Linked DNA regions of Arabidopsis thaliana. The gene in region 2 interacts genetically with the main gene of each other region. Each region holds a gene or a part of one and is shown on either strand. Other genes may lie near its edges. The genes, in order: ETR1 and CB5-B.

Region 1 (6,172 bases), on a different chromosome or scaffold from region 2:
AATCATTATCCGAATCGTAATCTCGTTCGGATAAATCCTTTTATCAATCGCACATTCGTAAATCCTCCACACAAGATCATCAATCTTCGATTTCGAAGAGTAATGAATCAACGTGTTTAAAGTAATCACACTAAGAGTAAATCCACAATCACACAATCTCTTGAACACATCAAACCCTAATTCCAAATACCTAATCTTAGCGTAACATTGAACTAACAAATCAAACACTAAAGGAGTAGAAGATGAGATCTCATAAGTATCTAACAACGAATCGACTAAATCCGAATCGGGAGGAGAATTTAACAGAGACGATTCAATTAAAGCTCGAGCGTCGATTAGTAATCGAGCTTTGACAAGGATATGAATCGTCAATGCGTAAGATTTGATTCCGTGACGGAGATTTCGAGTGTGGGATGACCAATGGAAGAAGGATAAAGCTTGTTTGGCGGTTTCGGGGTTTTTGAATCGGAGAAGGATTGTTTCGATTAAGGAATCTGATAGATCTATGGAGGAGAATTTGGTGGAGAGAGTTTCCCAGGTATCGTTGGATTGGAGGGATTTGGAGATGTAGTCGATGAGGATTTGTTGTTGTTTGTTTGGATTTGGATTAGTTTTGGAGGAGAAGGAGAAGAAGCCATGGATGAGTTTTGGAGATCGGGTTGATTGAGAAACTAAGTAACGCCATTGTTGTTGTTCTACTAAGCGGCGCAAAGCTGACGCCATAATACTGCATCAATGTCATACATGCACGCAACAAGCATCCATAACTCGATCCAAATTCTTATAAGAATGTAACTACATATATAAGGATACAACATTAGTCAAACATGTAATCTGAAATGGTATGATTATACCACCACCATCTTGTTCCTCTATAACCGAAATCGCCACGGACACATACCGGTTTAGAGTTTCTATTTTGTTATTCCCTTTCTGTTTTAAGATATCATCCAAAACGCTCCGACAATCTCTGATATGTACACAATTAAACCAGAGAACATCAGCTTCCGATGTTTTACGGGAGAAGAAGGCGGGAGCGGAATTACTCCTCTGGGGCATGGGGCATCCATCGCCTTTACATGCCCTCGTACAGTACCCGGGGCTCGAGAAGATCAGACAGAACATCTCTTATGTTGTCTAGTGATACGGGTTTGAGCAACACACCGTCTAGACCAAAGCTCATGCATTTCTCTTTTGTGGATTTGTCAGTGTTACCACTGAGTGCCACAAGTAGTGGCCGTTGGTGGCGTTGTTTTGTGAATTTCTCGTGAATACGGAGAGCGATTTGGTAGTTTTCGACCCCGGGCATGCACACGTCCATGAAGACCACTTTGTGCTCATGGGACACAACTCGGAGACACTCCTCGTTTGAACTCACCGTGGTCACTTCGCACCCAAGGTGTACAAGAAGTCCCTTCGTCACCATTCTACTTACCCTGCAACCAAAATAATCATCGGTTTCTCATAAGATTAAATTTGCGTTTTTTCTAAACGCCAATATCTGCATTTGCAAGAAGTAAGGCGAGAGATTTTGCAAAGAGAAAGGTGAGAAGCTTATACTAACCCGTTCTCATCCATGACAAGAACCTTAAGTCCAGTGAAATTTGAATGTCGGGGAATGGCTGGAACTTTCGGTATGCCCGACTGTTTAGATTCGTTTGAACGTTCTGAGATCCCAAGTTTAACATCAAAGATAGCCGTGCATCCTTTTCCAAGACCATCGCTCTCAATCCAAATGTTACCCTCCATCAGATTCACAAACCTTGTCATATTAAACGCTTATGAGTAAACTTTTAACAACACAGAAGACAAGAAAAAGTTGGAAAAAAACGTCTTTTAATAAGGCTCAAACCTCTTGGAGATGGCGAGGCCAAGCCCACTACCACCCGAGCTTCTCGTCGCTAAAGATTGTGTTTGAGCAAATTTAGTGAAAATCTTTGGAATGTCTTGAGGATTTATTCCTGCTCCAGAGTCTTTTACCTATATTTGAATAATCATCAAAATTAAGACCTAAGAAATACTTTCAGCTATGGTATAAGATCCCAAGATACAAGATAATAACCTTCACTCTCAAGTAGAAATGACTCCCAGTTGGCACGACAAAAAAGTCAGCAGCTCGTGTGTCTGACTTGGTGACAAGAGCGGTTACGGAGATACTACCTTGTTTGGAGAATTTCACAGCATTACCAACTATATTTAATATTATCTGCATTAGCCGTTTCTCATCCCCAACAACAAATTCTGGCAAATCTGGTGCAAGATTTAGTGTGATGGGTAATTTCTTAACAACCGCTATAGGCTTTATCAGATTGAGGACCTGCAACAAGATTCAATATGACAATCAAGTACACAAATAGTATAAACTTATGAAACATAGAGCTGTTCAAAAGTTACCTCTCTAAATAATGTATGAAGATTGAATGTCCCAAGTTCAAGTTGAAGACTTCCATCTTCTAACCTTGAAAGATCTAAGACATCATTCATCAAAGTTGCCAAAAGGTTACTACTTTTAAGTATTGTTTCCACCATCAGTCTTTGTTCAGGGGTTAGTTCCGTTTCTTGGAGTAAGGAAGAGAGTGCAATAATCGCATGCATCGGTGTTCGCATTTCATGGTTCATAACCGCTAGGAAATCATTGCGGGCACGGATTGCTGTTTCTGCTTCTCGTCTAGCTAGATCAAGAGCAACATTCTGCTCCATGAGAAGGTCCCTAGCTCGCATCGACTCTTCTAGGATCGCAGCATGTGAGAGAGCTACAGCCACCTATAATAAGAGAAGAAAAGTTATAGACAAGATCATGAACATAGCAAAGAAGAGAAATTCTCAGCAATGTAAAACCTGATCAGCGACGACTTCAACGAGTTCCAACTCATGGACATGCCATTGCCTTGCACTATCTGAAGGAAGCATCAAAACCATCAAAGCATATCTCTTTGTTGAAAGCTCAGGCCAGTCATTAATCTGAAAATTAGAAAGGTGGAGAAGCGGAACCCTCACAGCGACCACCTCCCCTAGCATATATTTCCCAGAAACAGGTCTCAACCTAGCCACAGGAGAATTAGGAGATATTTTTACAGCCCTACTAGTACCAAACACTTGGTTAATCACCGGTAATTGAATAGGAACCGTATACTCCACGGGATGTTGATGACGAAGTGTATAAGAAAGCTGTAGCTCTAACCCAGTTCTAGTAGGCATCCACAATGCACACTCCTCCAAAGCTAATGTCCTACCAAGCTCAACAAGTGTAGTCTTTAAAATAGTATGTCTATCTAAAGTGCTTCTAATCTCATGAGTCAACATTCTCACATGCCTTCCGGTTTCTTCCTGAGTTCGAATCAATCCCATTTCTCTATCGAGCTCAGCAGCTTTATTTTTCAAGAAAAGCTCCCGAGTCTTAACACTCAAAAGATCAGGAATAATATGAACAAGCATCAACGCAGTAGCACACGAGACAACAGCGGTTAACACCTTCGCGGTAGTCATCACAAGCGCCACGGTTCTCGAATGCGTAGTGAAAGTCCATAAGTTAATAAGATGAGTTGCTCCACAAAGAACGATAAAAGCACCAAACTGAACAAGTACCCATCTATACGGAAACACGGCTGATTTCTTCACAAAGTAAATCAACTCAAGAGGAATCGAAAAATACGCAATCGCAATGAAGAAATCGGAGATGTATTGGTATTTCATTAACAATTCATCCGCTGGCCATTGCGGTTCAATACAATTGCAGACTTCCATTATGAATTTTTTACACTATAGTTCCTCTCTCACACATACACACACCTGTGTAACAAACACATAGCATTATCAACTTCGATTTACGACGAGAACGTAGCGTAGACAGATCATGAGCATCAAAATTGCTATAAATTCTGAAGAATCGAATTCGATCACAACGATTACGAAAAAATAGGTTGCATATTTCAGTCTCGAGAACAGTAAAATTCGAATCCGAATCATGAAATTAACGATTAAATCTTAATTTAAAGTTCCTAATAACGATGCATTACACTAGATAAAGACCAATTAGGTTAATCAATCTCTATGATTTGAGATCGACGACAACAACAGAAGAAAACTGTGGAAGTGAAGAATATATATAAAGAAGTCACGAAACAATCTGAGGAGAGAATCGAGGAAGAAGAAGCTTACTTGGGAAGAATTGATCGGAGAAGAGGAGGAATTGGGGATTTGGGACGCGGCGGAGAGCGACGGAGAAGGAGAAAAGGGGAGCGTTGAAGCTTTTTTTCAAGTCAAAATTGGTTGGGTTTAACACTTCTTCTTCGTTCTTACTTTTTTTTTCGACGTCATTTCTCTAATTTTTTTGTTATTATTATCAGATGTTTTTTTTTAATAAAAAAGGGTAATATAGCTGGTGGGTGCATGAATTTGTTCATTCAAATATCTTATGATAGTGTAATGACGTAATGTAGATAAAGGAATAGAGTAAAAATGGTAAGAAAAATACAGATAATATAGGATAAATATCCCCATATTTATCAACAAATACTATCTTTATGGTTTCACCAAAAAATGCAAAATATTGTTTTCACTAACTTTCACCTTACATTGATTCGTATGATTTCAAAAAAGGAGAATGATAATGTCATTTGGAGATTAAGCAATATATATGTTTAGCCAATATAAAATTATGAGTTTTAAGTGTAATCTTATGTAAATAATCGTTTGTATAAAACATTATATAGTTGTAAGAGAAGTAAAACAAGTTGAATCAAACAAATATGTTCATGTGAATAAAAGCTATATTATGTCAACTTGGAGATATATCAAACTACTAATGTTATATCTGGTTAACTGTAATATATCTCCAAATTGACATAATATAGGTTTTCAGTACCTCAAAACTAAATCAGAGTTAACCAGAAATTTGATCCTAAACCAAAAGTATATTAAGCAATTATATAAAATTATTACATTAGTTTTTTTTGAAATCAATCCTCCGAAAAATGTACATAAGACCTTAACCAGTCAAATCAAAATCCAAACAAAACTAAATTTCATCGATTCAATTCTCAACCAACGTTTATGTCTCATATATACTAGTGTTGATTACTTCAAACTTACAATATGGAATCTTAATATATACCTTCAAGATGATGGCTCTAATCAGCCTATCTCGAACTGAATCTCATTTTAAGATCAGTATTAAATCTCAACACACGAAATTTTGATACATACAGTAAAACCTCTATAAATTAATACTCGATAAATTAATAATCTCTATAAATTAATAAATTTTTTCGGTCCCGAGTTGGAACCACTGTAAAAAGTGATACAAATCGATAAATTAATAAGATAATAGTTTTTTTGAAAATCTTATATAAACATAGGGTCCCATTAATATCATAAATTACAGAGAAATATAATTTTAATATTGTTTTTTTTTTACTTAAATTTGTATAAGTTTTTTTTTATTTCATTTTAATATTTTTACTCTATCAAAAACTTTTCTTGTTGTTTTCTAGACATGATAATTATTTCTATTTGTAATTGGTTCTAAAAATATATTTTAGATAATGGAATGAATCTTAAATTTTTATAGAAATTAAAAAAAAAATTACCACTTTTGGAAAATCTCTCTGTAAATTAATAAATATTAATTTATCGATAAATTAATACCTTTATAAATTAATAGAATTTTGTGGTCTCAACATTATTAATTTATAGAGATTTTACTGTATTAAATTTTATGGATTTCCAAATTAAATCTAATTAATAATAAATAGATTGGTGTATATTCTTTATATATAAGTGTTGGTCCTTCAATTTAAAATAAGAATAAAAATCGCAATACCAAAATATATGGATTGAACCAAATTGATATTAAGGGAAAGAGTGGGGCCAATACTATAATGACCAGAGAATCGAAATAGAAAGAAAACTTAGGACATGGTTGGCTCACACTGGTCCACAAGTAACTCTTGTGGTTACAATTTTCACTTCTAATCCCATAATTCTCCTTCTTTGTCCTCTTCTTTCTCCCTAAAATCCTAAATCCTTCTTTGGATTACTCTTCTTCTTCATTTCTTCCCACAAGGTTAGTCTCTCTTCTCTATCGAATCTGTGTTCTTCACTGTTTCATCTCTCCAATTCCCAATTTTTCCTTGATGGGCTTTGTCTTAAAAATCAATACTTTGAGTTTGAT
Region 2 (5,581 bases):
CTCTTTTGGTCTTGTGTCTCTAATGGTTTCTGTCAACTCTTTCTTCAGGTACAACTTTGATCCTGTGAACGAACAACCACTACCAGGACGGTTTGAATGGACGAAGGTAGATGATTAGAAACAACAAAAAAATGGGGGGTTAATAGTTAATACAGAATATATTAACATTTTCCTGCTAATTATCGGTTTGATCTTATTACCATCATCCGTTTTCTTAACTTTTTCAACATGTAAAGAGCTTAGGAGAAAAAACCCATGTAGTGTTTTTAAATTGGTGTCTGTAACATAAGTGGCTGAAAAGGGTTTGTGTAACAGAACTTGATACCAATCCTTTTTAAGCCTATACAGATCACCTTAGTAGTAGTACTAAAGCCATAAGAGAAGGTTTTTAGAAGTAACCCAAAGTCTGTTTAGGGTTTAGCGTTTAGGGTTTAGAGTTCTTTCGGTTTAAGGGTCAGTGTTTTCTTTTATGAATTCCGGTACAGGGGGACTCTGCATTCTCTTAAAACTCTTTGTCCTGTAACCATTTTAAAAAATCTATCCTTTTATGTGTATACATGTACTGATCTCAAACTCTTTTCAATAAAGACTTATCCTTCTCTTTTTTGTTCTCTTCATCTTAAGTTCTTGTTCTTATCATCATCATCATTATGGTCCATGTGTTGTGTTCTTCAGACATATAACATCACAATGACAGGTAGGTAATACATGTCTATATATACACAATTGTATACTGATAATAGAGAGACAGAGAAGCTGTTCGTTATGGATATGGATAGTGTCTCATAGTGGTCTTTGTTTTGTCTCTGTCTTCTCACTAAAATCAAAAGTGTTAGAAAAAGATTCTCTTTCTCTTTCTCTTGCTCTTGTGTGAGTCCATTGTACTTTCCACTCTGTGAGATTTGTGCCCACTATATTATCTTAAATATGTAATTCGTACCCACTCACTACATATCATCATCATCATCATCATTATGGTGATCGTCTTTTGATCAATCATCGAAACTTCGTCGCGTCTTTGCTTGTCATAAGATTCGTTTTCTGATTGTATTGATTTGAGTCTACACACGACAACGTTTTGAATGAAACAGTCCATAGTTGTCAACTTGCCACAGAATCCATTCCAATCTTTACTTAAATGAAATTTATTGCTCTCGAAGTTACAAGTATCGAACTTTGTGTCTGCGGTTGCGACTTCTTGCGGCCAAAGCGGTAAAGAGGTACAAAAAGAGGGTCCTACAGTTGCAGAAGAGTTTTTGGATTCTTCGTGTGGATATGTTTTTGTGAGCTCAAGTCACTAACTGCCACACACTCTATCAAGTAACTGCCAAAACAAACGTCTCTTTCTCTTTGGAATTCGTAATCTGTTGTTTTTGTTTCTCCTTTTCTCAAAGTTAATTAAGTGTTCTCTTAAGCATTCAATTAGTAAGATCATGGCCTTGTTTTGATAGTTCCTTGGTTACTTTTCTTCTACAGATCTCAAACAATACTAAACCAGACTTTCAAAACAGATCACTTATTAGTCATAACTTCGGTTTCAGAATCTGAAATATAGATGAGATGTTCATTAGTTGCATAAGGCAAAAACACCAACAAGACTGTTGTTTATATGCAGTTACACCACAATAGATAAGAAATTATCCAAAATACATTCAAACAGCAAAATATGGGAAGAGACAATAACAAAGGGAGAGACTTTCAGATTTGTCTTTTCAAAAGACTTGAATCTTTCTCTCTATATATAAGATATAAGGAAGTAATGCTCAGAAAAAAAAGAAGCCTACCCTGATTTGGTGTAGATACGGATTCCGACTGCTAAACCAAGAATGGCAAGGGGTACGAGGAACTGGAGGAGCTTGATTATGAATTCAGAGGTCTTGTCTTGATTGTAGTGAGGCTGTTTAGGAGGTGTGTATTTGACTTTCTTTGGTATTGTTGTTGGATCAATCTCTCCTACGTAGTACTGCTCCATCATTTCTCTTGCACTCTCGCTGTGACCCACGTCCTCAAAATCATCCGTTGCATCCTTACCTGAAAAGAGAATAAGAATCAAAAACCGATGGATTGATCTCCACTAAGCCGGGAGCATGGTGATAGTTGTGTTTATACAGACCTGTTGAAGACAAGAGAACATCGTCCCCACCTGGATGGTCTTCAAGAAACTTGGTCACATTGTACACCTGCATTTTTTTGCAAATGTGTGAAGTTAGGAGAGGCAAATGAAACCCAATTACAGAACTTCTGAACTTTGAAGATTTCTTGTCAAATCAAGAAGTTTAAAACATGGGAAGATCCACTTCTGAGGCTTATGATTAAAATGTAAGAAACAATGGAGCAACAAAAAGAAAAGTTCTTAGGTTATCGCTTTCTTTGGACTAAACAAGATATGGTGCATATAACTCTAAAAATCAAACAATAGGAATAGAAAGATGAATACTTGAAACAAATTACTGTACCAACAACCAAGTCCAGAGATACATTTGGGATCTTCTGAACTTGATAAAAAGGATTGTTCTGTGTACATAGCAAACTTGTTGCACAGAGGTAAACTCCCAAAAAAAATGAACTTAAGTGACAATATTAATAAGAAACATAAACTACTGATGGAACAACAGACCAAAACATTTAATGTTTCCTACTTTCTTGTGATAATCTACTGATTTCACAAACCAATCAATGAAGAAAACAAAAATCAAGTTCACTATGAAGGGAGGCTCAAGGATGTATCTACAGATTCCTTCACAAGTTAATAATCACAATACAAAAACGATCGATCTTCAGGGCAAACAACTAATCGACAAGTGTCAGTAGTCCATCCCAAGAAAGGTTGATGTCGATCAAACAAACTCTAAAGACAATAAGAACTATTTCTACATTTCTCCATCTTCAATCAAAATTAGAAAATTTTCAGCTGATAAATAGATCAAAAGAGCTAAATCTTCAGCATAAGCTTAATAACTACACCATTTTCTACTCTCTCTACCCATCTAAAGATTTGATCTGATAATTTTAGACTTAGAAATCTGAGACTTCAAAAGCTTAATCTCATGCAAACACCAAAAGGGGAAACTTTGAAGCACGAGATCTCTAATTTCAGAGGTGAGAATAAGGAGAAAGAAGAATGAAACCTTTCCATTGATGACAATCCAACAGTCATGAGCTTGATTATGCTCTGAAACTTCTGAAAGAGTGAAGATCTTTGCTTCGTCTCCCATTGTTTGTTTGATTCTTGTCTACCAGAATTAACCCACCAAAACCTGACTCTGAGACTTAAAGCTCAAAACTTTATACAAGAGTGTGAGAGAGAGTTGTTGAGTTAAAGACCATTTGACGAATCAGTTAAATTCCGGTTTAATTTGGTTCGTTCTCAAAGTAATCGGTTGGTGAGTTTTGGAAGCTTTGAAAACCGGTTTAATGAAAATTGATTTTGAGTTTGTTCTCACATAGTCTGTACCTAATTGCTGCTCTACTGTTTTGGCCTTATGGTATTCATCTGTACGATTTTGAAAACATATGTGCCAATGTTGAACCGATGGGTTAAGTGGTTTGGTAGTAGTTGTTATTTCCGGTTGAGTGGATGGGGTAGGTAGGTAGGCAGTGCAAATGTTGCGGTTGTGCGCTCTAATTCTGCCTTTTTCATTCAAGATCGGTAGGTGAATGATGTGCAATAAATTTTATTATGGTACATATGAATTCTTTTCTCATAAGTAATATTTATGTAGTTTTATATTAGTAGATACAACTACATAAGAAAAATAAATTGCCGCTGCTTCATACCAACTGACCTTATTTATTAGGGACACAAATCTTTTTCTTTCTAAAGCTTATATAAAATGTACATATTATTCAAAATCAATAGATTGACCGGTGAATTTCTGACCTTGTAAACGAAAAGAGGTCTGAGAAGTTTCAAATTTGAACCATCGACAATGAAAAAAATACATTAGCCATGTTCTCTAGAGAAAAACAAGCAGGTTAACCAAAAGATTAGAACCATCATTTTCTTTATGTTTTTTAGTACCAAATAATGTTATTAAAAGAAAAAGTTATACTTTTAGGACCACCAAATCTTTTTCAATACTAAAAATTGTTGCTTTGAAAATATTAAATACAATTTACACATTAAAAAAAACTAATATATATATAATTTTAAAATGAACAATAAATATAAATAACTAAAATCGTGTTTGTTTGTTCATACACTATTTTCATTGAACTTCTGATACGATAAACAGATAACTAAAAAAAAAATTGAATGCATATGTTTTTGAATTACATCTTGAAATGATTTATAAGCTAAATAACTAGATGACTTTGTTACATAATCGAGCTAATGGTCGACCACACCATCATCATAGTTTACGCTTACCATTTCGTGTAATGAGCTGAATCGATTTATGATAATTTTGTTTATAAAATTTGATTAACCGACTGTAAGTTTATTAATTTCTCTATGATGCCTTGCATATCTCTATAAAGCTTTGTATTATGTTCTGAATTGCAACACATTTTATTGATATGATATGATGATAATTTAGCAATTAGGGTATCCTAAAAGCTCCTAAAACTTAAAATTGTATGACCAACCAATTTTGTAAAAGCAATAAGGAGTTTTTGTAAATCTTCAAAATATATTGGATCCATAACTCAATAACACAAAACTTGAGACTAAAATCATAATAAAGCTATACATTCGGGGCAGTTTTTAATATCCTGACTTGTTGGGTAAGTCTCTAAATATTCGTAGTTTGCATCCAAGTCCCTGACTTACTATCTTCTCCCAAATCTCCTTTTATTTTTACTTTCGTCCTATAAACTAAAATAAATAAGGAAAACACTCTTCTTCAAATCCAGTAGAGAGATTCAAGACGAGTCTCATCGAAAGTTCGAATCTTTCGTCATCTGATTAGCTTTCTCTTAGGGTTTATTTCGATTTCGATTTAGTGTTCTCCATCAATGGCGACACCCATGGTTAGTTCCGCTGGAGGATTACTAGCAATGCTCAACGAGCCTCATCCTGTTTTGAAGCTTCATGCGCTCTCTAACCTCAACAATTTGGTTGACCAATTCTGGCCTGAGATCTCCACTAGTGTCCCCATCATGTAATTCTCTTTTAAACCCTTTTTTTCCGGTTTGAGATTTAGGGTTTTGTTCTCTCACTTGATCTGTTTTTTTATTCGGGATATTCTAGAGAAGATTGTGGGATTTGGATTGTTTGAGCTGTGGTTGTGTGTAGGTCTTCTCGATTTGGGTATTAAAGTTCAAAATTTTGAGTGAGGGATTGATAGTTTGTGGCGATGCAGATTCAATGGGTAGGATAAGAAAAGTAAAGTTTTTTATTTTACATGACTAGCTTTAGCAAGTTCTGTAGTGATCTTTATAGATTATGAATGAGTAATTGTATCTAACTTCTTCCTGGACATGATTATGTTCTTTTACTCATGTAATGTAAAGGCTTGGATTCGTTTTGGTTTATCATCGTACATTCTAGTGGTATAGATTCCAGTTGTAGAGGCTGTGCTGGCGCAATGCTTAGGGTTTTATGATAATCTCTCTTTAATGATTTGCACTACTTGACAGC

What was found.
Region 1: of CB5-B (region 2) and ETR1, changing one suppresses a phenotype caused by changing the other (phenotypic suppression), as found in Arabidopsis thaliana (one study listed by BioGRID).

What each region holds. Positions count from the first base shown.
Region 1 is NC_003070.9:24,732,270-24,738,441, reverse strand, and holds ETR1 (Signal transduction histidine kinase, hybrid-type, ethylene sensor), read right to left. Parts: upstream 4,281-6,172; 5' UTR 4,159-4,280; intron 3,790-4,158; 5' UTR 3,745-3,789; coding exon 2,839-3,744; intron 2,764-2,838; coding exon 2,395-2,763; intron 2,318-2,394; coding exon 2,063-2,317; intron 1,981-2,062; coding exon 1,853-1,980; intron 1,763-1,852; coding exon 1,565-1,762; intron 1,437-1,564; coding exon 1,076-1,436; 3' UTR 724-1,075; downstream 1-723. Other genes in the region: AT1G66345 (Pentatricopeptide repeat (PPR) superfamily protein), read right to left, coding at 1-723. UniProt on the Arabidopsis thaliana protein: Ethylene receptor related to bacterial two-component regulators. Acts as a redundant negative regulator of ethylene signaling.
Region 2 is NC_003071.7:13,875,233-13,880,813, forward strand, and holds CB5-B (cytochrome B5), read right to left. Parts: upstream 3,479-5,581; 5' UTR 3,216-3,478; coding exon 3,129-3,215; intron 3,127-3,128; exon of another isoform or gene 2,525-3,126; coding exon of another isoform or gene 2,438-2,524; intron 2,181-2,437; coding exon 2,114-2,180; intron 2,032-2,113; coding exon 1,781-2,031; 3' UTR 580-1,780; downstream 1-579. Other genes in the region: AT2G32710 (Cyclin-dependent kinase inhibitor family protein), read left to right, coding at 49-118; AT2G32730 (26S proteasome regulatory complex, non-ATPase subcomplex, Rpn2/Psmd1 subunit), read left to right, coding at 4,957-5,102. UniProt on the Arabidopsis thaliana protein: Membrane bound hemoprotein which function as an electron carrier for several membrane bound oxygenases, including fatty acid desaturases.